4 linked regions of the Alligator mississippiensis genome follow. The protein of the gene in region 2 interacts with the protein of the main gene of each other region in a pairwise test. Links are inferred from orthologs where the notes say so. Each region holds a gene or a part of one and is shown on either strand. Other genes may lie near its edges. The genes, in order: PLXNB3, ARHGEF11, PLXNB2 and PLXNB1.

The links.
Region 1: the proteins of ARHGEF11 (region 2) and PLXNB3 interact in a two-hybrid assay, tested with the Homo sapiens proteins (2 studies listed by BioGRID and IntAct). The link is inferred for Alligator mississippiensis from reciprocal best matches to the Homo sapiens genes ARHGEF11 and PLXNB3.
Region 3: the proteins of ARHGEF11 (region 2) and PLXNB2 interact in a two-hybrid assay, tested with the Homo sapiens proteins (2 studies listed by BioGRID). The link is inferred for Alligator mississippiensis from reciprocal best matches to the Homo sapiens genes ARHGEF11 and PLXNB2.
Region 4: the proteins of ARHGEF11 (region 2) and PLXNB1 interact in a two-hybrid assay, tested with the Homo sapiens proteins (2 studies listed by BioGRID). The link is inferred for Alligator mississippiensis from reciprocal best matches to the Homo sapiens genes ARHGEF11 and PLXNB1.

Annotation. Positions count from the first base shown.
Region 1 is NC_081831.1:28,575,909-28,583,081, reverse strand, and holds the start of PLXNB3 (plexin-B3), read right to left. Parts: upstream 3,005-7,173; 5' UTR 2,899-3,004; coding exon 2,701-2,898; intron 2,676-2,700; exon of another isoform or gene 2,469-2,675; intron 2,047-2,468; coding exon 1,075-2,046; intron 988-1,074; coding exon 808-987; intron 1-807. UniProt on the Homo sapiens protein: Receptor for SEMA5A that plays a role in axon guidance, invasive growth and cell migration. Stimulates neurite outgrowth and mediates Ca(2+)/Mg(2+)-dependent cell aggregation.
Region 2 is NC_081838.1:16,528,212-16,535,054, reverse strand, and holds the start of ARHGEF11 (rho guanine nucleotide exchange factor 11), read right to left. Parts: upstream 3,016-6,843; 5' UTR 2,407-3,015; coding exon 2,372-2,406; intron 1-2,371. Other genes in the region: ETV3L (ETS translocation variant 3-like protein), read right to left, coding at 6,079-6,722. UniProt on the Homo sapiens protein: May play a role in the regulation of RhoA GTPase by guanine nucleotide-binding alpha-12 (GNA12) and alpha-13 (GNA13). Acts as guanine nucleotide exchange factor (GEF) for RhoA GTPase and may act as GTPase-activating protein (GAP) for GNA12 and GNA13.
Region 3 is NC_081827.1:40,570,405-40,577,789, forward strand, and holds the start of PLXNB2 (plexin-B2), read right to left. Parts: upstream 3,008-7,385; 5' UTR 2,929-3,007; intron 2,757-2,928; exon of another isoform or gene 2,670-2,756; intron 1-2,669.
Region 4 is NC_081835.1:218,393-226,132, reverse strand, and holds the start of PLXNB1 (plexin-B1), read right to left. Parts: upstream 3,013-7,740; 5' UTR 2,961-3,012; intron 1-2,960. UniProt on the Homo sapiens protein: Receptor for SEMA4D. Plays a role in GABAergic synapse development. Mediates SEMA4A- and SEMA4D-dependent inhibitory synapse development. Plays a role in RHOA activation and subsequent changes of the actin cytoskeleton.

The sequences.
Region 1 (7,173 bases), on a different chromosome or scaffold from region 2:
GCCAAACTCCAGGTAGGGCAACTGGGGAATGGCTGAGCATAACAGGGCACAACAAAGGCTAAGATGCAGCCAGTTCTCAGGTGTCGCAGTTGAAAAATGGCCAGGTATAACACTGCCTGGGGAAAGCTGAGATGCAACCAGCTCTGGGGTAGAACAGCAAGGGGGAATGGCTGAGTATAACACAGTTCAGGGAGGGCTGAGATGTGGCCAGTTCTGGGGTGGGGCAACTGGGAAATGGCTGTGTGTAACACTGCATGGGGATGGCTGAGGGGCACTCAACTCTGGGGTGGGGGCAGCTAGTAACAGCTACATATAACACCATGAAAGAAAGGCCAAGATGCACCCAACTCTGGGCTGGGGCAGTGGAGAAACAGCTGAGCATAACAAGCCAAGATATAATACCCCATGGGGAGGCCAAGATGCAGTCAACTCTGGGGTGGGGGCAGTGGGCAACAGCCCAGTATAATGCCACTCAAGGAAAACCAAAATGTACCCAGCTCTGGTGTCAATGGGAAACAGCTGAATATAATAAGGCAAGAAGAGGGTTGACATGCTTGCAGGTCTGGGGTGGGGTGGCTGGGGAACAGCTGAGTATAACAGGCCGAGATGAGCCCAGCTCTGTGGTGCGACAGCCAAGGAACAGCCAAGTATAGCAAGGCACAGGGAAGCTTTAGACATGCCCAGCTCTGAGGCAGACCTGCTGGGGAATGGCTGAGCATAACAAGGCAGGAATAGGGCTGAGATGTGCCCAACTCTGGAGTGGATCAGCTGGGGACTGGCTGAGTTTAATGCTGCCCCAGACCCTACCTTGTGCAGCTGCCCAAAGGCATCTCCAAGGAAGATGATGGTGTTCCCAGCCTCTTCTGTGGCCACGACAGCTGTGAGCTGTGGCAGCTCTGTGACTAGGGCCGGGGCCTGGATGGGCACCAGGCTGACAATTGGGGAGGGCGTGTGCTCATCCCCACATGGGTACAGCTCTGATGACTCCTGGGGGGAAATGGGGGGCCAGGGGTTAGAGGTGATGGGGATGTAGATAGCTCTAAGGTGGAACCCGCTCCTCCCCCCACTGCTCACCTGGGGCAGATGGGTGCAGTGAGATGTGACCCCATAGGCGATGGCGGCACGGGGAGGGTCAATGCCTACCCCCCCACCGTGGCTGTAGCAGGCCTGGCGTGTGGCCTCGGCCTCGGTCTCCAGCACCTCCAGTGGGAAGACGCATAGGGCTGAGAGTAGCCCAGCCCCTGCATCTGCCACCACGAATAGTGCTCCGTGCTGGCCAGACCTCAAGGCACCCGCTCGGGCCACAGGATAGGCCCCAGCCTGGCAGTCCAGGGGCACCTCTACATAGGAGTAGAGCTGGGGGTCTGCCAGGCAGGCCCGGGCAGCATAGGTCCGAGGCTCAGGTTCGCTGGGGCCCCCACGACGGGTAAGAAGGAAGTAGGCATGGGTGCCAGTTGGTGCGGCCAGGATGTAGTGCAGCCCATAATCCCCAGGGTCTCCCACCACGAGGCGCCCCAGCCCCTCACCAGAGAAAGCATGGGGGCCCTCGAGGTGCCGGACAGTGAGGGGAGGCACAAGGCGGGTCCCGGAACTCCCCCGAGCCACCCAGAGGAAGGTTCCATGAGCCACAGCCACGGTGGGGACCCCAGCATCTGGGGCAGCAATGAAATGTCCCTCGCCAGGGTCTGGAGGAGTGGCGAGGACATGCTGAGGGTCGGCCAAGGCCCGGGCCTGGCACAGGCCGTGGTGACGTTGCCCACAAGTCAGCAGGCGCCCACTGGGGGTCTCAAGAAGCAGGCGGTTGGGGTTGGGGAGATTGGGGGGATTCTCTGTGGTGGCTGTGGCCAGTGGGGCCAGGCCAGGGCCCAGGCGGTGGATGGCATTGGTGGCACCCACATACACGTCACCCGTGGAGGCCACCAGCAGGTGCTGGAAGGAAGCATTTGGGGGAGCAAAAGTGGGGAGTGGGAAGGGTTCCCCCGGAAGGGGGGGCAGCAGCAGAAGCAGCAGGGGCAGAACAGGCCATGGGAAGGTCATGGCCAAGACCTGTGGGGGAAGAGGAAAGGATTAAAGGCTGGAGTGGGGAACCCAAGTGCCCAGGCAGCTCCCCCAGGACCATCACCAGATGACTCAGGTGTCCAAACAGCTGCCCCATAACCCGGCAGACTGGACTTGACCACCAGAGAACCCAGGTCTCTGGGAGTCTCTGCCATTGCCTACCATCCCCATCCAGTGAACCCAGGTGTCTGGACAGCTTGCCCAGGACCCATCACCCCCTACAGAACACCCAGGCATCTGAGCGCGTATCTTGGGATTCATTACCCCATGGAGAACCCAGGCGTCCAGACAGCTCCCCCGTAACCCATCACCCCCAAAGAGAATCCAGTCATCCAGGTGGCCCCTCAAAACCTATCACCCCAAAAGAAACCAGGCATCTAGGCTCCCAGCCCTGGCTTGCTATCACCTACCAGGATCAACTCCTCTCCCAGGGAACCCAGACGTCCGGGCTGTGGAAATGCTGTTGCTAATCCACACCCCCTTCCCTCCCCCTGAAATCCAGCACAGACAAACACCAGATGGGGCCGTCAGGCAAGGAGGGGACACAGACATCCAGGCTACCTGTCCCCCACTCCCCACTCCTAGAGAACCCAGGTGCCCAGGATCCCGTGCCCTGGGAGGGGAAGGGAGGGGTGTCCTCACCTGTGGCTGCCAGGTGCTGAGGAGGTTGCCTGGTGAGAGGAAGCCCTGCCCCCTACTCCACCCTCCACAAGGGCTCAGGTGCCCCAGGAGCCCTGACACGCCTGCCCCTCCCCCACTTCCCTTACCCCAAGGAGGGGTTGCCTGACAGACAAAGGCACCAGGCAAAGAACTCAAGTGTCCAGGCTCCCAGCTCTCCATGCTCTAGCCCCTCCTCTTTTCCAAGAGAACCCAGGTGTCCAGGCTGCCTCCAGACCCTGCCCCCCAGCCTTCCCAAGCTAGAGAACCCAGAGATCTGGGTCCTTGTTCTAAGCCACCGGACACCACTCACCTGGTGAGGGGAAGCCCTGAGGTGGGGAGGGAACCCAGGCATCTGGGCATTCAGCCCAGCCTGCTCTGAGTCTCTAGAGAACCCAGCCGTCCCTGATGCCAGCCCCACCTGCTCTCACCCCCCCCCAACCCCTATTCCCCTCCCAGAGAACCCAGGCCAGAGCCGGGTGCTCCCCACTGCGAGGAGGGAACCCAGGCGTCTGGCTGAGGGCGGGGGAGGGACATCCCTGTGAATGGGGCCCTGTCTTTTCCCCACCCTGCCCCATCAATGCCCCTCTGTTCCCTCAGCGACACCCGGCTCAAGGACCCATTATGGGATGCTGGCACGAGGAGGACCCCGGAAATGGGGGGGGGGAAGCTGCAGGTCAGGAGCAAGGGGCACCATAGGACTGGAGGGGCTGCAAGTCAGGAATGAGGGGAACTGCAGGTCATGTCAGGGCTGCTGGTCAGCACTGAGGGACATTGTGGGGAGATGGGGGTGTTATTACAGTGCCCCTCACTCCTGACCCACAGCCCCAGCTGGAGCCACCAGCCCCTCCCCCCTCCAGCCGCCCCCACGTTTTGGGGGGGGAAGGGAGGGCCCTTGGGGGCTGCATCAAAGGTGCTTTGTCCCGGGCACCCGGATGCCTGAATTCTCTGGGGGCAGCATTAACCCCATCGGCACTAAAAACTGCTCTGCTTTCACTCCTGACCCACAGCCTCCACCCCCAACCTGTGGTGCCCCTCACTCCCAAACCGCAGCCCCCCATGGGTTCAGTGGGTGGCTAGGGGCTGTGGGTGGGGAGTGAGGAGCACTGTGGAGCCAAGCTCCACCCCCCACCCCCTGTCCATCCATCTGTCACACTTTGAGCCATCCTGACGGCCCTTTTGTGGTGCCTGCATGTTTCTGGGCCTGAACCTGTTACCCCGAGCATTGAAACCCCTCCCCACCCCCCTCAAGCCTGACTGCAGAGAACTCAGGCATCCAGGCTCCCACACCCCCCTGCTCTGAAATCCAGCTCCCACCCCTGCCAGATAACCCAGGTGTCTGGGCTTCCAGCGCCCCCTCCACTACCCCTGCCCCCCATTCACACCTGACCCACAGCCTGCCCCACAGCCCCACGGTACCCCCTCATTCCTGACCCCCCTGGGCTCTCACCTGTGGCTACCACTACAGCAGTCAGTGTTGGCACTGGGAACTCTGGGTGGACTGTAGGGAGGGAGCCTGGGACAGCTGGTACCCAGGGTCATGGCCACGGGTGGGGCCAGTGCCAGGGGCTGCAGGTCAGGAGGGGCACCATGGAGCTATGGTCAGGTCTGTAGTTTGGGAGCAAGGGGCACCAGGGCCAACTTGTGCACCCAGCTCTGGGGTGTGGCCCCAGGCAGCCGAGTCATGCTAGGGGAGAGCAGGAACAGCAGGGCTGTGAACTGCCCCAGGGGGGCCCCAGACCATGGAGTGGTTTGGAAGGAGCCAGACAGATGGACCCAAGGGTCAGCTTCACTGGTGGAGGGGGAACTGGACACCTGGGTCCCCCTGTCTGTTTGCATGTGTCTGTCTGTCCCTGGGTTTCCTTTGTGTGTGTGTGTGCATGTATGTGTGTGCATGTGCATATGCTCTGGATGCCCAGGTTCCCTGTGTGCATTCCAGAACTTGCATTCTCTGTGCCTGTGTCCTGGATGCCTGGGTTCCACGTGTGTGTTGAGTGGCAAGTGAGGAGGGGGAGCAAAGTGTTGTGTCTGGGACACCTTGGTCCTCTATCTGTATGTCCCAAATGCCTGGGCTCCCTGTGTGTGTGGGTGTCCAGGATACCTGGGTTCTCTATGTGTCTATGGCCTGGATGCCTGGGTTGTGTGTGTGTGTGGGGGGGGAGCAGCTGTAGCCAGGCTGGGGAAATGGGGGTGGCGGGGGGAGGGCTGCTGGGCTTGGAGCCCCTCCTCCTGCCCTGCAGCCCCTGAACTCCTGTGTTCCAAGAGGAAATAACAAGGCCATAAACCTGTCCCCCCTGCTGGGCTGGGAAAAAGAGGGACAGGAAGGTAACACCCAGGGATGGAGGGATGGTAGCCTGGGTTCTCTGGGACAAGAGCAGTGGCTGGGGGGTGGGAACTCAGATGCCTGAGTTCTTTGGGAGGGGGGGTGGGGCTGAAGCAGGGCCAGTTTAATCTGGGATAGGGAGCAGACACATGCAGTCACTTCCCACATCCGTTGCAGCCCTAGGAGCAAGTTACTCCAGTCTTCCAAGGTGTCCTGGCTCCCGGCTCTGACCCCCCCCCCCCCTCACCTCCCAGGGAACCCAGGTCTCCAAGTTCTCAGAGGTCTGTTTTATCTGTGGGGTGATGCCATGGGAGGCTGCAGGTCAGGAGTAAGGGGCACTATGGAGTATGGGGGGGGAGCTGCAGGTTGGGAGTGAGGGGTATAATGGAATATGGAAGGGGGAGCTGTGAGCTGGGAGTGAGGGGCACTATGGAGTATGGACAGGGGGGCGGAGGGAGGGGCACCACAGGGCTATGTGGGGAGCTGTGGGTCAGGAATGAGGGGCACTGCGGGGATGGGGGTGGCTGCAGGCTGGGAGTGAGGGGCACTGTGAGTTAACCCCTGCCTGCCCATGCCTCAGATGCCCAGCTGCAGCCCAGAGACCCCTGTGGGGCAAGAAGGGGTGGAGCCAACTGTCAAGGCAGGCACTGGTGAGTCCTGGATGCACCCAGCTCTGGGAGTGCAGCTGGGGGCAGCTGAGTATAACCCAGATGCCTGGGTTCTCTCCAGCTGTGGGGTGGGGGGGAAGGAGCTGGGAGCCCAGACACCTGGGTTCTGAGAGGGGAGTGGGGCGGGCACGAAAGCAGCAGAATCTGGCAGCCCAGACTCCTGGGTTCTCCCTCTCATTGCAGGCCCCGTGGTCACCAGCTGCCCAGGGAGCTGGGGGGCTGGAGCAGGGCGGGGCAGGCTCCTGCAGCCACTGCCCCAGCCACCAACAATAGGTTCCATCACCACCACCCTCTGCAGCCAGAGGAGCTACAAGGCCAGAGTATCCCACATCCAGGAGACTGCAGGGGAGGTGAGGGGAACTGTGGGTCAGGTATAAGGGGCACCATGGTGTATGGGGGGGTTGTGGGTCAGGAGTGAAGGCACCATTGGGCTATAAGGAGGGGCTGCAGGTTGGAAGTGAGGGGCTGGAGAGTTAAAATGGGGAGCTGAGAAGCCAGGTGTCTGGGCTCCACCCTGACTCTGGGCTGTGATGGTGAGGAAAGAAGGCCCAGATGCCTGGGTTTCATGGGAGGGGGGGGAGTTAAATGGGGAATGATAAGGGTGGCTGCCAGGAGCCTGGACACCTGGGTCCCTGGCTGGGGTGTAGCTAACCTCCCCTCTCCTCGCTCAGATGGCTGTGCTCTCTGCACCCTGGCCTGCCTCTTCTGTGAACTCAGGGCTCTCTGCTCCCTGGCCCTATGCTGCAGAAGTGAACCCTGCTGGGCAAGGGCAGGACCATCAGCTGGGGGAGGTGGGGCCTGCAGTTGCCCCTGGAGCCCACGGGCTGTGATTCAGCCTGCCTGGAGATTGCTTTGGAGTGCTGTGGTATGTTTCCCCATTTAAGTCTCCTCATGAGAGGCTCTGCCCATCCCAGGCCCCGCCCCCTCTTCAGGGCCGAGCCCTACCAAGGTAGCCTGCGAATGAATGAGCCACAGCCTGCTGTGATGCATCTGGACACCCACCCTCCCATCCCCCACCTCATCCTTTCTGCATCTGATGTTATCCAGTGAAGTATTACCAGGACTATGAAATCGTAGGTGAGGATGGGAAGAGACTAAGATAGCAGTATCCAAATCAGGCCATGCCCCTCTGTGACTTCATTTAACCAGACCATGCCCTTTCAAACCATGACATCATTTTGTGACTCAGATCTGGCCCACCCAGGCAGTGATGTCATGCACAGTGGTGTGCCCTGCCCATAGTGGCTATGACCTAATCCTTTGGGCCGAGCCCCACCCCATTGGTTGTGATCTCCTTGCCCATCCAAACCCCACCCACATCCAGGAGCCCTGCCCACATGGCCTATCTCATTGCAGAACCAGCCAAACACACCTACCTCACTTGTGATGTTTCCTTCCCTAAACTCGCACTCCAACAACCAGTCACACTGTCTCCATTGTGATGTCACCTGACCACCAGTGGGCCTT
Region 2 (6,843 bases):
GTCTCCTTTGCCCAGGAGTGAAAATATTGTTGCCCCCTGCTCCTCGCAGTGCCAGGAAGGAGGTTTGGAGTCCCAGCTGGCTGCTGCCCACAGACCTTCTCTCACAAGCTTCTGGCTGGTGGCAGGACGAGGAGCTTCATTGCCTTCCGTCACAGGCTGCCGATGGAGGAAGGAAGGGTGGTTTGCAGCAGAGACCCCTGCTGCGCTGAGCACCTGGGCTTTCTGCTCTCTTACCAGGAGGCAAGGATTTACCGAGGAAGCCTTCTCTCTCCACTTCTGGGCTCCAGTGGGGGATTCCTGTGGCTACCTCTACTTTGGGGCCTCACCCTCCTACCCTGCGGGCATCTCCGACACCTCCAGCTCCAACACAAGCAAGAAGCCAAACGGCTGCTGGCTGGTTTCACCAAAGGGGCTCTGAAGATCTGCTCTGCGCACGTAGCCACTTGGAAAAAACTGAGCATCAGCCAAGGCACCAGAGCGGCCTGCAGACTTGCACATCCTAGGAGGAAGGTTGACTGCGCAGCCATGAGGGCTAGAAACCAAAACAACTTAAATTCTCCAAAATCAGACAACTCGGGCTCATCACCACGAATGATCTCCATGCCCAGATAATGGGTTGAGGCACAAGCCTGCCAACATAGGCAGGCCAGGTGTTTCTGCTGAGCGCACCCCATCACCTCCTATGACTTGCCCACCCTAGCACCTCCCTGGAGGGGCTCAGCAGCTGGTAGCTATGCTCAGCTGCCTTTAGAAACATGGCAAGGAGACCAAGGAAGAAAGAAATCTGTTAGGCTGTAAATACAATCTCCAGTCCCCAGCTGGCCAGGCCCCGCATCTGTCTAATCAAATTTTGTATTTACTTGGGAAAGGAGTGGCTGGGTTTGATGTAGCTCAGACTGGAAGTGGAAGATCATTACTGTTTTTAACAGCGAAGACTCATCAATGAAAAAACACAGCCACATCCCACAGCCAGTCGCTGCCAGAGGCAGTCTTCAGACACCCATGCTGCAGTGTGCCTCACCCAGACAGCCTGGGCTACCTCTTAATAATCGTGCCAAAAGGGATGGTGCAGGGGGAATCTGCCCCTTTCAAGACCAAGCAATTGGTCTTAAAAGGGGCACATTCCCCCTGCACCGAAACACAGCTTCAAGCCCTGGTAGGCACAAGCAAAAACCTTCTCTGCTTTGCAAGAAAGACCTCCCCCCCAGCACTCCCCCAAAGGGGTTTGCTTCTCACCTCTCATTCCTCTGTGGACATGTGCTGGTCTGTTGACATCCTCCATCCCAGAGGTTGCTTCACACGGAGGTGCAACTATCTCCAGCAGCCCCACACTTCTACTGAATGGGACCACTGCAATGGGGAGCATAACCCCCGCTGGAAAGTGTTTGCAGACCCAGGCCGTGGATGGACCAGGCCACCGAAGAGCACACAGTGCGCTCAGACATGACCATCTCTCCCCAGCCTCGATTTTTTTGCTAAACGCCCCGAATCAGCTCCCGCGTGGTAGAATTTAGAAATCCCAAAGCAAGTCGACGATCAAATCCGCCGAGCAGAGCTGAACAACAGAGAAAGCACGCGGGCAATAAGAATAAGTCAACCCGAGCACACAAAACACATTCAGATAGCTGCTTTCTATCCTGTGTCTTTTCACACCAAAGGATGTGAGAGAGGAGAATAAACACTTGGCGGAGAAGAATAAGTGGAGTGTTTTCTGCACGGCACCTCTGTTTTGAGCTAGGTTGGAGTGGGGAGGGGGTCCCTCAATGCCGATACCCTGCGTGCTGCCACATCCCCAAGCAGATTGCAAGAGGCCTGCCACAAAGCCCCAGAGACCCCGGCCAGGGAGCACCCATCTGCACCGAGATTCCTCCACAGGACCAGGGGAAGCGGCCCGAGGACTGCCGGCTCCATTCAGGGTGCAGGGAAGGCATCTGCCCTTCCAGGGGGGAGCGTGCTGGGGTAAACGAGGGGGGGACAAGGCAGGGCCGTATAGCCCAGCGACACCAGGATGTCATGCAAACGAGGCGGCCGGGGTCCGAGCAGGCCCTGGGTACCAGCCCCGGACTAACTTCTAAACTAGGCCCGGTCGCAGCCCACTGCAGTCTGCAGAGACAGGAACAGAGGAAGTCGAATGACGGGAAGGGAAAGGTGACCCAGACAAGGAACAGGATGGCAGGCTGCAAGCAAAAAAAGGATTCAAAACACAGCCCAGCGCACGGCAGACGCAGCCTGAGAGAGACGCACGCCGGGCATCCGGGGCCGCGCCCGGACCCCGACGCTTGTGCACCCCCCGACCCCCGCGCGTCCCCAAAACCATCCCCCGGGGCGGGGGGGCAAAGACGACCCGCGGCACCCCCCAGCCGCCCCGTACCTGTCCAGCGCAGCCTGTGGAGGCCTCACGCTCATGATTCCTCCGCCCGGTCCTCGCGGATCCCGAAATTCCCGGCTGGATCGGGGAGGGGGGAGACGGGAAGGGCGGGGTGGGGGGGGGCTCACATCCCCCCTCCCGGGAGGGGAACCTGCACACGCATGCACAGAGGCGGTTCTTGGCTTTCTTCCGCCCCCCCCCAATAATAATAATAATAATAATAATAATACAAGAAAAGGGAGGAGGGCGGAAAAAAAAAATCAATTTCCTTCCGACAAAAAGGAGCCGGGAAGCAGCAAGTCCATCTCGAGTTTGCTCCTCCACATCGTGCCCTTTCTCCCTCCCCCTCCTCTCCCGCTGGCTTCCAAAACAAATGCAGCGCAGGGAAGGGGGAGGGAAGACCAAAAAAACCCAGCCAGCAATCAAAATGATATTGCCAGAAAAAACCAATTTGCCAAGAACAAGGAGAAAGCAGCCAAGTCCCCTTGCAAAAACAACACAAGAAAGAAAGGGGGGGAGAGGGGGTGCATCCAAATGTGCAGGAGCCCCGGGAAACGGGGCCGCCGCCGCCCGGCAGCAGGAGGGCTCGGGGAAGCCGCCGGCCCGGCGCCCGGGGAGCCCGAGCCCGAGCGGCCTAATGCGGCCCCGCCCCGCGCTGCCCCCCACGTGGCCCCGGGGCGCCCCCCGCCGCGCCGCGCCGCGCCCCGCCCAGCCCCGCGCCCGCCGAGCCGCTCGCTCCGGGGCCATGCCCGCGGAGGGCACCCCCGGGGGGCTTCACCCTGCAGCCTTGCCCTGGGGTGTGGCTGTGTCCTGGCGTATTATTATTAGTATTATTATTTTTTACTATTTTCTTTTTTTTTAACTGCTGGGGGGGGTAATTGCTTTGCAATCAGCTGCGAGGGGTCCCTCCAGCGGCTGGAGCCTGCAGCAGCAGGGCTGCTCTGTCCCCCCCTAACCCCGTGGCTGTATTTCGGCTCCAGCCCCACGTAGGAGGTGACCCCCACCTTAGCTGAGCCCCGCTTTTGCTGCGGGGGTTAGCTGGCGGGGCAGGGAGGAGGTCGCGCCTCCCCTTTGCCCTGCTCTGCTCACATCTCCCTCCAGGCGCCTGGCACAGTGGGGGACAATACTCACCTGCTCCAGCCGGCAGGAGGGTTGTTGCTTCTCAGGCCTGACCCAAGCAAGCCCCCACGTCTGGCACCCAGTCCACACTCCATTGGGTTGAACCCCTTAATTAATAGGCTTGGAGACCCTCAGCTGCACCATGCAACACCTTAGCACCCTAGGGACCCCTTCCCAGCCCCTGCCTGAGCACGGCCTCACTTGGGCAGCATGAACCCGTTAACATTTTTTGCTGGCCGGGGACCAGGCCTGCCAGGCTTTTGTATCGCTTCAACAAACACCAAAAAGGTTTTACTCCCAAAGAGCCTCTTCCTCAGGGCCCCGTGGCACGGCTCGTCCTTCCCAGGCATGTGGGCAAGGGTGGCACTCGCTTTGCAAGTCCCTCCTGGCATGGCCTGCTTCACTTTTCTGTTTGCAGCCTGCGTGCCAGCTAGCAGCGAGCCCTGGAGCCGGCTCTGTGCAGCAATCTTAGTGCCAGCGCTGAGCTGTGCTGCTTGACCCCAGGAATTAATGGGGTACAACCCAGTACGCACAGGAAGCCATCTCGAGCTGCTCGCCTGTCCTGGGCCCACAGCTGGAGATAGTCACTGCAGCAATGGAGAAACCCACCTGGAACAAAGGCACTAGCATGAACCAGGAGGAGAGGGGGAGTTGCATGTGCCCGGGGGGCGGGGTACAAGACCTATGCATCATGGCAGGGGTATACGGAGTGGCCTGGCCCTGCCTTGCAGCCTGGCAGATCTGGCTGGGAGGTCCAGCACCCTCTGGGCACTGCCCTTCTGTCAGTGCTTGGGTTGGGACTGTGACTGCATGGAAGAAAAGAGTGCTTAACTGTGGCAAGCGGTGTCTCGAGGCCCTGAGGCCTGGAGATCAGCAGGGGAGCTGGACATTTATCTCTTCCCCAGTGCAAGGGTGGCCGGCTCTCACCACCTCATCCACCATCTGAACCCGTCACTGCTCTCAGACACTGGCCTGATGTCTCAGGCAAAGCAGATCCCTCCTCTTGCAGGCACAACAGCCTGGGCCTTTGTGGTCCACCCCCCCCACTTCTCATCCCCACGGCTTCAGCTACTCTCTGAATGAATCAAAAAATCACAGAAAATGAGGGTTGGAAGGGACCTTGGGAGGTCACATCTAGTCCAAAGCAGGACCAGCCCCAACTATATCACATCCCAGCCAAGCCTTTGTTGAGCCGGGCCATAAAAACCTCCGAGGATGGAGATGCCACCACCTCTCTGGGTATGAGAGGCATCACAGACCCTCTGAACTGTGGAAAATACATTGCATCCGAAACACCCTATTAACCAACCGATAAATAAATGCGGTTCTGCTTGGGCTGGGAACAAGGACAGCTAGATTTAAAAACCATGTTTTTGGGCAGGGGCAGATAAACCACAAGTACAGAAGATGTGTTCATATGTGACCTGCCTGTGTCTACACCAGGTGCTAAATCACACCGAACACATTTTAGCTAAAACAGAAAAACACGTTTCGAACACAGATCCTACCTCAGGCAGGAGGTCAGACTAGATGACCCCTCGAGGTCCCTTCCAGCCCCGATTCCAGCCCTCTGGGGTCACAGCCTGAAGGAGACTCTCTCAGCCTCTTGAGCAGGCCCAGCCGAGCTCCCCAAGTGCAAGCATCCGTGCCCTGCAGCCCACCTCACCCTGGCTTACATGGGCCGCATCCTGCTCGGTTCATCCTGTGCAGCCCCTACCCCTGAGGTTACTAGCGGGGTGCGGGAAAGAGGGTGTGTATCTGATCCACCACCAGAACCATGAGCCATGGGAAACATCTGCTAAAACCAGAGGTGGCCATGAGGGGGCACCCGTGCCACAGACAATTAATTCGCTCAGCTTCGTTAAGTCAGGATCTAGCACTTGGCCTGGGACCTCCGCATTATGCCTCGCTTGCAGGTACCACCACCCGCTTCAAGAATTGGATCCTGGACAATGAAACAGAGGAGGCCGCTAGCGCTCAGACCCTCCACGAGAAGAAAGGGATTCCCTGTAACACAGGGTCACAGCCGTGTCTGTACAGTGCCCGGTGCTCCAGGGTGCAGCTCCTGACCTGGACCCTTCAGCATTGCAGCTAGGCAAGTGCTAGCCCGTTAGGCAGCTGGACGACACAGGCAGAGCATCCACCAGTAAATAGGGGAACATAAAAACATGAGCAGAGCTATACTGCGTCAGAGCAATGGTACCTTTCGGTCGCTCTCCTGGCTCCTGTAGCAGACAGCATCAAACCAGAGATCTCTAGAATGATCTATCCCCTCGATGCCAGAAGAAGCATCTCCTAGCGTTCTGCTCAAAGACAGTATGTGCAGGTGATTTGGACAAAAAGCACCGGGTACAGTCCTGTCCCACCCCCCGTGACAAGGAAATGGGTCAGGGTCAGAGCCAGAGAGACGGTTGTCTGTAAACTGGGTTTATTCTCATGGCCCGGTTCATCCTTTACACAGACGGGGCAGGATGAGACGAGACAAGCTGTGCACGCTTCACAGGCAGATGCGGCATGGGGCTAGGCTCGGGCATCGCCAGGCAGGAGGAAGGGGCAAAATGGCAGGGGGACACGGCACCGGGGAGTTGCTTTTAGGTGGGGTCCAAGGGCCAGGCGGCCTTAAAGCCAGACAGGCAGGGGAGGCGGGGGGCAGCTCCGGCAGAGGCTCTCAGCTCGGAGGGGTAACACGGACTATCACCCTCCCCTCCAGGGCCCAGGAAGATTGTGTCTTTGCCCAGAGCCGTGCCCTCCAGCTCCAGCTCCACCTCAGGCTTCACCTCCTGGCTGTGCTCTGCAGAAGGAGCCCGGTGCTGGCCTTCCTCATCCTCCCTCTCCTCCTCTTCAGGTGGGGACACGTCCAGCAGGAACTGCAGCCTCTCTGCAGCCCCCTGCACGGTGCCCAGTGGGTGCCCAGGGAAGGCTTGCCCCTGCAGCCGAGGGGGCAGGAAGCTGACCCCCAACAAGAGGGCATCTGATTTGGGGAACCCCAAGGGACCATGGGGCTGGGCGTGCTCTGGCAGGGGCAGCACCGCCTGGCCGTGGGGGAAGATGTGGCCAGAGAAGCGTGGCCACTCGGGCGGGCTGGGCACAGGGCAGTGGCTGGGCGAGCAGAGCTGGCGGCTGCCGTTAGGGGTGAGCCTGGGGGGCGGGAAGGCAGCCAGGTGGGGGAACTCATCCTGCACCCCTGGGCTGCAGTAGGAGCCAAAGAAGCAGGGTGAAGGGATGGAGCCAAAGCCTGCGGAGAGACAGGGAGAGGCGTGAGACTGGCAGCAGCCTGCTCCGGCACCAACCGGGAGTCAGGACACTTGGGTTCTGCCCCCACTCGGGTCCCTCCTTGTGCTTCTGTTTCGCTTCCC
Region 3 (7,385 bases), on a different chromosome or scaffold from region 2:
ATTAAGTGGTTAGAATTATTTCAGCCAGACACAAAACCTGTGCCTGCCCCTTTAAAAAAAACCAACTTGAAGTTTCAACAGAATAGATGTCAAAGGTAAGATCCAGTAGAAGTTGAACCATTTCCTTATTTAACATCTTTCTGAGCTAGTCGTTGCTCCGACTTTCTAGAAAATAAGAAGCACTGCTTACCTGCTAACTCCCAGTATGCTTTTATTAATTTAAAACAAAGAGCTATTCATTTCTGTGTCCCAACTTCTTGAAATATGTAAATTGATCCAAAATAGCAAGCAAGTAGTAGCATTTACACTCTCACTGTAGAAAAAACCCACAGCATACACTGCAGCAACATGCACATACTGCCTACTAACATGAACCACTATTTATTAGGAAAACTGGTTGGAACAAGTCTACATTATGGTGCTTGAGAGTTCTTAGTACAGTTATGTTGCTTTTGTCAGGTCTTACAGGGAGGACATATCTGTTTGTTCTGAATATGTTATCAGAAGTACCTAAAGATTTGCATGAATTCTTTTTTACTACACAGTAAGACACCAGCGACAGTATGTGAACCTGAAGCAGCTTACTTACAGACTGACTGGCATCACAAAAGATAGCTATGTAGAAAGCTCCAGCTTTTAGAACTACCCATCCAAACTTCAGCAAGCAATGCTCTCCCTTCAGTTTTACATGCCTTCCATCTGCTTTTCTAAAAAAACACCATACTAATCTGTACTTCATACCAAATCAAATTAAGATGCCACACAGCCCTTCAGAGCCCTCAACACCAAAAAGGGAAGAGTTCAAGGCAAGCCAGCAAAGGACTAGATTTCCTCGGTCAGCTTAGTTTGGGCTTGTGGTTGCAGCCATGCTCTCTGCTGTCGGTTCCATTCTCGTGGGCAGGCACTCTGGATATTTACAAGAATCTGGCTCACTCACAATCCCGAAGGCACGCAAAGCAAAGGAATGGCTCCACATGCATATGTAATCACGCTCAAATCCTTGCCTCTCAAGTATATAATCACACTCGGCACTGCAAGTACATTGGTAATGAGTTACCCAAGCTACTTTAGCCAGACCCTGGTGCGCAACTCTCATCCCAGAGAACTGATGAGAGATTTCCATCCTGGGAACAGAAAGGAAGAGACCCCTCAGGTCAACTTTGATTTTGACAACCTTAGCATTTCCTCAAACTCTGGCTTTGACAACATAGCATTTCATCAAGATTTGGGAGCAGGGTTCGAATTACACTAACTTGGGGGGGGGGGGGCAGGCAGAAAAAGCCTCGCAGGTGTGGGGCAGGCCAGGGGCTCTTGCCTCTTATGGGGGAGTTTATGGAGGGCTCATCTCTTATGAGAGGCTCAGCCCCCCCTGTATTTTGAATGCTTCTTGGGAGGAGCTGGCTGCTGACAGACTCCAGTGGCACCACAACTTCAACCAATTGGCTGCCTGCTCGGAGGTAAAGTGTCTCACCCTTGAAACAGAGAAGTGCGTGGAGGAAGGAAAAGGAGAGAAGTCCTGGCCTATGGCCTCCCCTCCCCTGTGGAAAGACCTGCAACTCCTGTGGACAGGTCTGTGGTTCAAGGATTGGACTCCTTAGTCACCTCAAGACCCATCAGCGAGCCGGGGTAGAGATCATCCTGGAAGAGGTGATTTCCTCAAAGGAATTGTGACAAGCACCCAAAGAGAAGCAGCACTGGTTAGTAACCTATGTTACCATGTAGGGAGTGACCACTGTCACCACATTCTCTACCTTGCTCTAAACATGATGCACTAGGATAAATGGGTAACGTTTCTCTGGAATGCGTTACCTGTTAGATGATGGAGGCAACTGGGAACAGATTTACAAAACAAGCAGAAAGGGGAACCATCCGCTCAAAGGCAACATTTTGAGTTTCAAAAGCAAAAAAAACCAAAACAAAACAAAGCAACCAGGCAAAACAAGGTTCTTATTTACACCTAGTAACACCAGAGCAACAGGGCCGGGTAGTTCACAAGGGAGGAGCAGTAATTGCCACCAGATTTCAAAGCTGAAATAAACTCACAGCTCTTCTGGGGGAGGAGGGGTGGGGGGTTAAGGAATATTTGCTCCCAACTATTAACCTAGAAAGTACTTGAATGATCCTTTCTGTCACTGCCTGCCCTGGAAGCCGACCCTGCTGCCAGCGGGCTCGCACGAGGGGAAAGGGCACAGTCACTGCCATGCCCGGCCAGGCCCAGGGGGTGGGCGCTTCCAGAGCAAATACTTCTGTGAGTCACAACCAACACGCAGCCTCCCGGGCTCGCGGCTTCCAGTGAACGCGAGTAACCCACAGGAGCTGCAGCAGAGCAGAGCAGAGAGCTCCACACAAACTTTCCAGCTGCCTTTCCCAGAAGAGCCGCGCTCAGCCCGGAGCTCCCCCCGCCAGGGGTGAAGCAGGCGGGTTTCCATCAGCCCGGGCCGGCTACGGGGCACGGCGCACCTCCCTGGGCACAGCTCCTCCGTGCCGGCTGCCCCCGGAGGGAAAGCTTCAGGCTTTCCCAGCGCCGCCCGGAATCGAGCCCACTCAGACCCCCGGGGAAACGCAGCCGGGGGGGGACCCCTGCCCCGGGGCCCGCAGCCGCAGCTCCACCTGTTGAAGGCAACGGGGATAATCCGCTGGGGGCGGCGGGGGGAGAAGCACAAACTTACCCAAGTTGGAGCCGCGCGGGCTGCGACAGCTCCGCGCTCAGCCCCGCCGCGCCCAGCGCCCCCGCCTGCCCATGGTGCGGGGCGGCGCCGCCGGCGGAGCGGAGCGGCCGGGCCGGGTCGGGTCGGGTCGGAGCGCGGGAGGCTGCAGCGGGCGCGGACGCGAAGGGAAGCGAGGGGAAGGGAGAAGCCGCCGAGGACCGCTCAGGTGCGGGGCGGGCAGCGGGGAGCCCCGCGGAGGCGCCGCGAGGAGGAGACACACCTGTAGGCGCTGCACATATCCGCCGCCAGCACAATGCGAGACAGGAAGCTGAAAAAACCAGCCCAGGGAGGGAGTGGGAGCGGGAGGCTCCGGCTCGTCCCTCCCTCTCTCCTCCGCCTCCTCCTCTCCCCACCCCCTGCCCGGCTCGGCCTCGGCTCACGCGGGCTCCTTGGGGAAAGCGGGCGGCGCGGCGCGGAGGGGAGGGGAGAGCATCACCGCGCGCTCCGCCTCCCGCGCCCCGCCCGAGCCCGGCGCTCCCGGGGCGGCGCCCGGGGCCTGGGGCCGCGCCAGCCCAGAGGTGCTGCGGGGATCAGGGGGCGCCTCTCCCCCGCCCCGGCCGGGCAGGAGGCGGCGCGGTTCCCACGCCCGGGGCCGGCCGGTCGCTCCTGCCCTTGCGAAGCCGCGCCTCGGGCAGCTCCCGCCCCTGCCCGGGCCGGACCTGGCGGCTCCGTGTGACCGCGCAACCTCCGCGCGCCGCCGGCGGGAGTGAAGGAGGGAGGCGGGGAAGGGCGAGTCGGCCGCCGCGCGCGGCACCGTGGGCCGCCCGGGCCGGGCAGAGCGGGTGGGGCGGGCTGCGGCCCCCACGGGTGGAAGCGAGCGCCCTGGGGCCCCGGGGCCGGCCCGCGCCCAGCGCCGGGGAGGGAGGGAGGCTGGAGCCGTGGCCGGGTCTGCCCCTCTCGTGCCGGCTGGGCGGAAGGGGCAGAGCTCAGCAGGGGGCTCCTCGCTGCTCGATTCACGGAGGGTGTTTCCAGGACCGGAGCGAGGACATGAGCCAGGGCCTCTGCTTCCCACGAGACTGGCTCGCCCCTCTCTGGCAGGGAATTTCGCCCCTTATGCGGGACCGGCGCGGCTGCCGCCTCCCAAAACCAGCGGGGCTCCCGGCAAGGCATTTAAAAGGCGCGTGTCTGATTTCTTCATCAATCACGCCGGGATCAGCGCTGTTGGGGGAATGAATGAATTAGCCACTTAGTGAAGTCCCTTGAAAGCGAGCAGGACTACATAAAAGCCGAGTATTTCCTGCAAGTAAACACCCCTTCCCTCCTCAGGAGCGCCTCGGCTGGGCTCGGCTGAGGGGGTGGGGCTGGCAGAAGAGCCAGACATCAAAGGTCGCTACTTGTTGCTTCAGAGCTGCGCCCCCCCCCCCCCCCCCCCCCCCCCGGAAAAATCGTATTCCGAGCACACTCCCTGCAAGAGAAACAAGCCGGTGAGAGGATGATTGGCAGTTTCCGAGGATAAAGGGATCTGAACTATCATTGCACGCTTAAACGTGCACAAACAGCGGGCTGATTGATGCGCGAGGCATTACACTGACACCGTCTTGCGTAGGGACGGAGATAATTTGATTGCATGTGAATAGGACTTATAATCGGGATTTGAATTTCCTATGTTTTTCTCCTCCCGATCCCACTTCCCTCCTCACTTTGCTATCTCTTAGTCGTTATGCATGTCTTTGTGTCTTCTCACCTCCCTATTGTCCTCTCTTACACTCCTGTACAATGTTTCTGCCTGTCTCTGTCTCCTGCTTCCTTTCTCAGGGCTGTCAACTCCTGGAATTTTATCTAAAGCTTGTCAATATCGACTGTCTTTTTTAAACCCCTCAGCCCTGGAGGCATATGATTATACCAGAATTGCAGCTTTCATTATTACAAAAATAGATTTATAGCCCCACCATTTGGGAGCTGAGCATGAAAAATGTAAATCCTAAGGGTTAAAAAAAGCCACAAATAAACTCTACATTTGTTATTTAAAGAAACCTCATGATCTGAAAGATAATCATGATTTCTTGGAGCCTGATTTTGTTTTTCAATTTTGGAGTTTGGCCTTTTTCTTTTTGCCTTGTCTCCCATTGTAACAACAGTGGAATTAATATGATTAATTTTCTGTTGCATTTAGCAAAACTTTGGATACCCTACTATTCAAATAGCAATTCTGACTTGATGGCAACCCCACTGCAGAAATGAGTCTAAAGAGAAAACCAACAGTGATAGAAATACGAGGAGTTCCCTTTTTCAGATGAGACATCAAAAGGTTCATATGAGTGTTTGTCATCCTGTTTTAATTTTATAAACTGTTTTTTTTTCACTTCCCCTGTTGCAAGAGGGAGGTCTAATTTCCCTGATGCTGATGGGGCACTACATTCCATTTCCACCTGGATGTGGCTGTATTTCAGTGGTGAGTGTAGTGATCCATATACACATATTAATATTTTCATAGTCCATAAATCACCTTCGGGTCTACTTCTGGATGAAGAATGCTAGATAAATATAAGGTATTATTATTAGATTTGTGAAATGTCGCCACACACATATTTAGACTCCTGCCCTTTGTACTGAACCCATATGGCAGGGCAATTTGGGTAGATTTGTTTCTCTGTTTTGTGGCTGACAGATTGCCCACCCTCCACCATGCCAGGAAAAAAACTAAGACCAACTATCCTAAGGTAAAATAGTCTGCAGACTGTAGTATGCCATTCTTTAGTTCTTTCTATGGAGCTAGAAATTTCATAGACACTGGGGCTGGAAAGGACCTGGCAAGATCATAAAGTCCAGCCCACTGCCCAAGGGGCAGACAGTCAGCTAGGGTCAAATGAACAAGATAATCACCCAAACGCTTCTTGAACATGTCCAGAGTAGATGCTTGCACCACTTCTGAGGGGAGTCTATTCCAGACTCCAGAAACTCGGATAGTAAAGAAGTTTTTCCTTAGGTCCAGTCTAAAACTGTTTTCCAGCAGTTTGTGACTGTTGGACCTTGTCTTCCCTTGGGGTGCCTTGGAGAGCAGATGTTCTCGCAGACCCTGATGCACACCCCTGATATAATTGTAGGCTGCCACCAAGTCCCTCCTGAGCCTATGCTTTTCCAAGCTGAAGAGTCCCATGCCTCCCAGCCTCTCCCCATAAGGCCTGCTCTCTTGACCTCTGATCATGTGTGTGGCTCTCCTCTGGACTCTCAAGGTTCTCCACATCCTTTCTAAAGTGTGGAGCCCAGAACTGGATGCAGTACTCCTATGATGTGGGTTCTTTCTCTTGAGGTGGAGCACCTTGCATTTCTCTGTGTTGAAAGTCATCAGGTTTTGATTGATCCACCCACTTTGCGAGCCTGTCCAAGTCAGCCTGAATCCTCAGCCTATACTCTAGTGACCACGCTTCCCCATAATTTGGTGTCATCTGCAAACTTAGCCAGTCTGGTTCTGACACCCGAATCCGAGATGCCACTGGTCACCATGAGCCACGTTGATTCGGTTCCATCGACGATCACTCTCTGGGTCTGACCATGGAGCCAGTTCCCCAGCCATCGGACTGTAAAGTTGTCAAGGCAGCAGTTCCCCAATTTTGCCATGAGGACAACACGGGAGACCAAATCAAAAGCTTTTTTGAAATCCAAGTAAATGACATCAGCCTCTCCCCCCCTGTCCAGGTGGTGTTTCACTTGGTCATAGAAGGCAATGAGGTTGGTCAGGCATGACCTACCTGTAACAAAGCCATGTTGGCTGTCTCTCAGGCTGATGCCTTCTGTTAACCTATAGTTGATGGATTCTTTAATATTTTTTGCCACGATCTTTCCAGGGATTGAGGTCAAACTGATTGGCCTGTAGTTCTCTGAATCGTCCTTCCTTCCTTTCTTGAAGATAGGCACCACATTGGTCCTCTTACAATCTTCAGGAACCTCTCTTGAGCACCAAAAGTTCTGAAATATCCACACCATTGGTCACACTATGATGTCAGCCAACTCTTTTAGCACTCTAGGGTGCATTTAATCAGGGTCCAGTGATTTATGGATGTCCAGCCTCTAAAGATGTTCTCTCACAAGGCCTTTGCCAAATGTAGGTGTGTGGTCACCCGTATCCTAGTAATCCTGTGTCCTGTCAGGCATGGTGATCCCCTTGGGCTGGTGAAAAACCAATGTGAAGTATTCATTAAGGAGATTAGCATTTTTCTGGATGTTGGATGTCAGCTGCCCCATTTGGTTCAGCAGGGGTCCAATGTTGCCCTTATTTCTGTTTAGACTTCCCATATATCTGAAGAAGGACTTTTTATTGTCCTTGATTCCTGTACCCAGTTTGAGCTTGGTTTCGGCCTTGGCTTTTGTGGTCCACTCCCTACAGGTGCGGGCCAGTGATGCATAGTCCTCCTTAGAGCTATTTCCTATCTTCCTACCTTTATAGGCTTCTCTTTTAAGATTCAGGAGGTCCATGAGTTCCCTATTGAGCCAAGGGGGTCTCCCAGCCCTTTTACTATCTTTCCTATGGGCCAGAATGGACTTTCCTTGTGCTTTTAGGATCACATCCTCAAGAAGCAGCCACACAGCTTGGACTCCCTTCCCTGTCAGATCATGATCCTTCAGGGCCTTGGCAACCACCCTCCTGAGCTCATAAAAGTCATCATTGCTGACTGATTTACCAGCTTTGTGATGGGTAAAGTGATCAAATCATGATCACTAGGATTGTGTGAGGCTTTG
Region 4 (7,740 bases), on a different chromosome or scaffold from region 2:
TTTACAATTCACAAGTTTTGCACAAGTTTACAGTTTGAGGAAGATCTCAAATTGCAGGAATGGAACACAAGAGCACCTGCCCAGGAGGCACCAAAGCACTCCTGAATGAGAGGAATGTGTTTGTGGTGAAAGATGAGAACTCAAGAACAGGATATGAGCATTCAGTCTCCCAGCCCTGGTGGGAAGATCACTGTACTGAGGGAAAAGCCTCTCTCAATCCTCCTTCACCTCCACTGGGCAAATCACAGATACAACATTTGTCAGAAAAGCACCTTCTCTACAGTTTGCAGCAAAAAACAGTCAGAATGAAAAAGGACTGTAGACTCCCTTGGGTTATTAATTCCACTGTAAGGTAGGGATTCTTTTTTTTTTTTTTAAATTAATGCCTTTCTGCAAACCCCAAAACTTATCTTATTAGGATAACACATTCCTTGTTGCTTAGGCAGAGTGTCACAAAGAGCAAATACAAGAGCACAAAGGCACTGACTGAGATAGCTAGTTTTAATATCAAAATTTGAGAGAAAATTCCCTGGGAAGTGTTAGCAATTATAGAAAGTCAACCATAGAAAATGCCACATCCAGTGCTTTCAACCCCGGAAAGCCCTTGCTTTTCAGTTTTTAGCACAGACCAGATGTGCACATCTACATTTTCCCCTATTCATGGTGGGGAAAACCTCCTCTTAAAGCACAGCCCATCCACAGGAAAATCGGAACATAGACCCACGGAATACACAACCAAGTCTGTTAATTTGGAGGATTCCAATGCATACAAATTAGGCAACGAGACGTCCATGTTATTATAGGATGGCTCAGCTTTAAATTCCTATAAACTGCAAGACCGAGTCCTGTTTTTGATAGGAATGTTCTCTCCAAAGGAGGTGCTTTCCTCTTAACCATTTACCCTCTACTTTTGCTCCTAATACAGGTCAAAACTTATTTCTTCTGTCAGACATAGAATCCCCCCTCCCCCTGAGCTCTTCTACTTCCCTATCAATCTTCTATGCTCTGTATCTTGAATATTGTATTGATTTATCTTTTTCTACTGCTCACCAATTCTCACACGTCACTGCCACCCCACACAAGATCCAGAGGGGATTTTGGACAGTCCACGATTCCACAGCCAAAAAGTGCTTTTGGTCTTCTAAAGCTCTTCTTTAAATTCCCAATCATGATGTCACAATCATTGTTCTCTAGGAAACCAACTGCTGACCCAGTAATGGCCTCATCTTTATCAATTCTAACAACTTCTCAAATAGTTACCTCTTGTTGGGTGCGATACTTGTTATAAAGTCATCTAGATAGTATTTGCTTAAATGCAGGCACCCAGGAATTTGCAACAGCCCACAAAGCAAAAATGCTAACACCACTCAATAATTTTCATTTGTGATATAGGAGACCAAGTTTGTAAGTCAAAAGTCAGTTTGAGCTCTCACACATGCAAACACAAATGCCAAGGAAGGTCTTCCTGTTGAGTGAGAGCCCATCTGTAACCCTGTACAAACTCCAGCGATGGTCAGCTACACACAAACGTCACAAACACTAGCAGACATCCACCATGCACAACAACTGTGTTTCTATCCACCTTCTCCGATGAGGTGCAACTTGCCCTGCCTGGCTGGACTCGGAAGCCTCTTTCACACCCACATCGATACCACAGCTCTGTACTTTGCTCAACGGGGAAACGATGCACGGCTCTGGCACCCGACGGGTCCGAGTCACCACTGACTAACGTAGCTAACGCGCTCCTCGGTGCCGGTCCCAATCCTCCCGCCCTCTCGGCCCTCCTCCCTTTTCTCGCTCTTTCCCAAACAGGCTGCGACTAGTGATTTTATATTCCACTTCGGTACATCCTCCAGCTGGGCTTAACCTGATGACAGTTTCTTCTTCTTCAGTAGCCACAGTCCTCGTACTGGCATATCAACAAGCAAGTTCTCTCTTTGTATTTTGCCACGTTAGTTAAATGTTTTCACAACATGCCAAGGGGGTCTCTCCCACCTTCGCATCATGCTGGATGCTTGTCACCAGAAAGCAGGGTAGGTTTGCACCGCAGAGACTAACCAAACCAGGTCTCTTTCATATGCAAGACACATGCCTGGGCTATGCACCCACCAACACCGATACACAGCACAAGCTTCCAGTGCTGAAGCGCGCTGCACCGATGCTGTGAAAGGAGGTGCACAACCCCATGCAAGCAGAGTATCTGCCACCAGCTAGGAAGGGCTGGAGGGGGCTCTCAACCGGAGCCGTGTCGGGGGCCGCGGGGCTGGCAGGCGGCGCTCTCCACGGTCAGCTGGGGCAGCCCGCGCCTGGGCCGAGCCTGCTGCCGCCGCCAGCTCGGTGGAGCCGGTTCCCGTGGCGGGCTGCGCGGGCCAAGCGGCAGGGGCGCTGCCCATGTGCGCACGCATGCGGGCGGGGCGCACAGCAGCGCCCCGGTAAGCCGGGCGGGGCGGGGCGGGGCGGGGCGGGGCGGGGCCGCAGCAGGCGCGGGCTGCATCCCGGGCGGGGGAGCAGCGCTGCCGGGGCACGATCGTCCCCCCGCCACCTCGGACCGTGTCCGCCCCGCCGCTCGGTGCTGCCGCGCTCGCCCCAGGGCTCGGGCTCCGGCGGCGGGACAGCGCTTCCACCCGCGCCCGGCCCGGCCCGGCCCGCAGCGCCCTGCTCGCTGCCGCCGCCGCCCCGGCCTGCGCGTCCCGGGGGCAGGGCCCGGTCCTGGGGCCCGCAGGCTCCGCCGCGACTCGGAGCGCGGCGACCTCCCAACGCGCCGCGACCGGCCCCGGCCCGCGGCCCCGGCCCGCTCCTGCCACCAGCCCGGGGCACGGGAACAAAGCCGCGCCGCGCTGCGCTGCGCTGCTCCGCCCGCACCTGCGCCCGCGCCCGCGCCAACCGAGCCCGCTCCGCCGAACGCCCCTACCGGGGCCGGGCCGGGAACGGGGCCGGGGCCGCAGCCCGACACCTCCTACCTGCGCCTGCTGCCGCGCCGGGTCGGGTCGGGCCGGCCCCGCCCCCCTCCGCCCCCGTGCCTGCAGCCACGCCCTTCAGCCAGGACGCGGCAGGGGCAGCTGCTGATTGGCTGTAGACGCGGAGGCTGGGCGGGGCCGGCTGCTGATTGGCTGCCGGGGCGGCGGGCACGTGCTGAGCCGAGCCCGAGGCGGCCGCCCCGCCCCGCCCCGCGTCGTCGTGTCGCGACATGTGGTATCGCGGCGGAGCCGGCCCCCCCCCCCCCCCGGCGGCGGGCGGGGCGCGGTCCCGGGAGGCCCCGCTCTGCGAACGGCCCGCGCCCGGGAGTCCGCGCCTCAGCGCCGGGCAGCTCCCTCGCGCCGGCAGCCTTGCCGCTCCGGCCCGCGCGACCCCAGGAAGGGCAGCGCGGGCTGCAGGAGCCCCAGCCCCGCGCAGGCCGCTCTGCCCGACCCGGGCCCGGCCGCCGCCGCAGACCGTTCGCGATGCGAGGTGGCGCATGTCGCAGGCTCGCTCGCGCGCGGCTGAAGGGAGGTGTGCGCGGCGCTGTGCAGACACCAGGGGCATCCCAACAGCGCTTCTGTTGCTCGGAGCTGTCGGTGTCCGCCCCAAGGACACGTCTGTGCTGCCTGGGGTGCCATCTGGCCCCGCACGCGGAAACAAGGGCTCGCGGGCGCTCAGTAGCCTCGTGCAGAAGACGGCAAGTTCTGCCTCTGCAGAGCGACATGTCCCTAGGTCCCCTAATGCGAGTTTGATTTCCTAGTCCCTAATAACGGCATTGCTTTCATTGTTGCTCGGCAAGACAGCTGGCTCCTAGAGAGTCTCGGCGTGGCCGGAGGCGAGGTGGCGGCAGGGCGACCAGCGCAGAACCAAGGTCACGGGACGTTTGCTTCACCCACGTGCCGCTGCCACGCGGTCCTGGAGTTGTGAGACGTGAAACAAGCACCCGCGTCCATCCACCCTCGAGATGGCTGTTTCTGCATGACGACCTCAGCCGAACCGCAGCTGCCGGCCGTGCGCGTCTGACAGCCTGCCTCTCCCTGAGAAGGAAAGGGAACGGCAAACCTGTGGTGGGGCCGCGTCGGGTCTCAGGTAATTCCTGCCTGGTTCACGCACCGTTTTATGGGGTGGAAATCTACGGCTGGGGCTGTTGGGAGGAGGAGTCTGTTCCAGTGTGGCATGGGGTCGTACAGCTGCAGCGGCCAGCGCCCCAGGGACATCAGTCCTCACAGTAGTCTGTCTGTCTAGATCCGTGGTTCTCAGCCAGGATGCCAGCACACCCGCGGTTGCCTCGAGATCCTTTCAAGGGTTCTGTAGGGTGTCGCACGGTGTTAGCACTTCTAGGTGTCCAAACATGATTTGCAAGATAGACCCAGAGATTTCAAATAGGAATCCATAGCGTTAGAGCTGTCTGGACTTGTGGTCTTTCTGAGTTCTTTGCAACATAAAAAATACTCTCTTCTTCCATAGCCAAAAAGAAAAAAGAGTTAAAACTAAGATCTGGCACTTTCTGAGGGGTACCTTGAGTCTAAGGTGGGGGGGTGGCTTACCTTGAGTCAAAGGTTGAGAACTGCTGGTCTAGATTTTGATAAATCTTTTCCCTCACCACGTCACCTGTGGGCTTGCCACAAAAAAGTGAACACAGAACTTGACTTCCAGCTCTTCTGACAGGAGCATGCTTCAAGTTAGTGTAGGGACTTTTTAGACTAAAAGGTATCCATGGCAAAGATACTGATGCATTTGATATTGTAGGAAAGTTATACTGGGTTTGCATGTAGTTCTGAGAGCGATGGTTCTTCTTGTTTCCTCTGGTCTTGGGCCAGCTCTTGTGACAGATTTGTCCCTACAGATAAGAATTCTCTCCCAGGAGTGAAAAGAGAAATCCAAGGGAGATGCAATCTAACCAGAAATTATCTTTGCAGCAGTGTTGTGAATGATACTGGCAGGGCAAGGTTGCATTTGTCAAGGCCAACAAAAAAAAAAAAAAGGACCGATGAGAACCTGAATGAAAGTGTTAGCTGTTTACCCCAGGCATTTACTGGACAGTTCTCCAGCAATTCATGGATAAGAAGCTTGCAAGAGAGTCCACTCCAACAGGGCAAAGGGACCAGTGCAATTGGTGGCGGGACAGTAAAAACCATGTCTTAGAAATTTTATGAAAAGATAATCTACAACATTTAGACATAACTGGATGGAAAAGGAAATTAGCCTCAACTCTTACCTAGAAGGGCACTTGCCTTCAGAACAGTATGTCTAACTGAAAGACTAGTACGATATAGCCATGAATAAACTGAGACTGGAAATTAGGAGGTGCGTAACCATCGCAGCAGTAATATTCTTGAAGTGCCTCTCAATTAGAGCTGGAGGCAAAAACGTAACTTTTTTTTTAAAAAGAGCTGGATGGGTTCATGAATGGGACTATATGATGGACGCGGTTGTCAGGGATAGCAGAAGGCTGGACTCGGTGACCCAAGAGGTACTGTCCAGTCCCATGTCTTATGCAAGTCACAGCTGTGAGGCCATCTGATCTGTGTTAGTGGTGTCCAAAGGCAAATACATCTCTTTCAGGTGCCGCCGGCCAGAGGACTGCTTCCAGGGCTTCCAACCAGTGACCTGAGCACCTGCAACCTTTAGGGTTTGTTAGATGCGATGAATGACCCTAGGTAGAGATTTATGTCCTGTAAAATCTCTGCCAGGTCCAGAGAACAGCAGTTTAGGGCTCTGTGAATGTATTCCTTAAGCTTCTCTTTGTGCTGGCTCCCTAAATACAGAAGCCGGGACGAGCCTCAGCATTCCGAGCCCTTAATGGACTGGCTGTTCGTCAGTGGGATAACTCCTTTCCCTTCACAAACTCCCACGACAGCTCGGGAAGAGGCCACTGTTTAAGATATGGAGACAAGCAAGTGAAAATATGTTCCCAGCATCTTCACTGGGCTGCTCAGCCAGAGCATTTGAACTCCCACAGGAGCAGGGGAGATTTGCCATATCAAGTGCAGAATATTTCAGGGTTTGTAGTATTCTCTGTCCCTTAGCACAGCGGGATGTCAATTCAAACATCTCAGAGACAAGTAGCTCACAACGCTGCAAGGAAATGGAAAACTCTGGGTTTGACAAGTAACCAAGCTGCTGCTGCTGCTGGGCAGTTTTGTGACGGCTTTCACAAAGAAACCAATTGTATCAGAGAGCTGGGATAGCGCCTCTGAAATGAAAACTCAAACTTGCCAACTTGTTTGGAGGGCAAATTGATATTCCAGAGCCCTGATGGTAGTGATCTCAGCTCTGTCTTGAGATTTAGACTTAGACATCCCCTCTGGAGAATATCACATGGCTTCTCTCCTCTGTAATTGACAGTTTAGAATCGCTTTGTTGTCTGACATCGTTTGTGAGTAGACCTAATTAAAAAGTAGGATAAAGGGTGTCATTGATCAGTCAGTTAGTGGGCAAAACCCTAAGCTGATGTCAAATGATTTGACAAGTACAGCCACATCAGGTGTCCCAGATGTAACACAGTTTTGATTTGCAGAATAAAAAAAGAATAAAAGTACTCTATAAGTTAGTTAAAGGCTTGGCCATGTCTAGGAATTCATCTTGTTGCACATTAAGTTTGAACCGGGACGGGGGCAGCAGAGCTGTATAAATGGGGACACCTAGGCTAGGTGTAGCAAATGTAAATTGATGCTTGGTTTCAGGGCCCAATGCAATGGGACAGGGTCTGATATATTAAGTGCTGCACAAATAGAACAAAGAGATATTCCTTAACAGAAAGAATGAACTGAATAACAGTTCTGCAAGTAATTTGGCTTCTCCCTTCAGCAGCCATTAAAAACAGCAGGGAGGAGGCTGGGCTGAGCTGGGATTTTAGGAAAAGCAAACAAGCACTGGAGTGGATTCTGCAAGGTACAGAATTAGCCTGTTACAAAAGGTGCCAACTGAGTGGCCTTTCCATTTGGCCTGATGTGCACCTGGTGCAGTGATTCTCAGCCAAGGTGCTAGGATACCCTAGTGTGTGCAGAGATCATAAGGTATGCAAAGATAGGCAGATAAGGGCAGCAGGCTCAGTTTCCTCCCTGCTGGGCTGCAATCCTGTTCTCACTGGCTGGCCCCTCTGCAAGAGGTAAACAATGTGAGATGTAAATTAGTGTTTGAAATGGGTTGCTGCTCAGATCACAAAAAGTATAGAAGGGTGCCCTGAGTCTAAAGAGGGGCACCTTGAGTCTGGAAAGGTTGAGAGCCACTGAGCTAGTGCACTGCTCTCATAAATTCATGATGCCATTTTGCAAGTTTGAGTCAAGCCTCCCACACACATTTCTGACATTTCAGAGGCTACAGTTGGTGGAAGTCCCATTTATTGAAGTGCCAAGCATCTACTCCCTTCCCTGTTCATTATACTCTCTTTGCTCCTCCCTTCCCAACAGTCTCAGCAACCTGAGGGCAAGAGTGGCAGTTCAAAACTTTAAGCCAAATGAATGGTCCCACAGTTTAGTGGCAGTTCCTTGGTTCACAGGGTATTTCAGTGCCACCTGTAGGATGAGCATGTAGGGTCTGGGTCATGCCTCCTGGAGCTCTGCTGGTTCTGAAGGGCCACTCAGGATCACATAGCCAGAGCTCAGCAAAACACTTAAAAGGAGGTAGATCACTTGGTACCTTCTCCCCTCCCTTTTCTTCCCCACCTCTCACAGACAAAGGCATCCAATTTCTACATGCATTCCCACCAAAAACGCTGCACAGAGCCAGACTCTATTACATATGGAGCTCACTGCAAATACAGTTTATCTAATCAGAGCC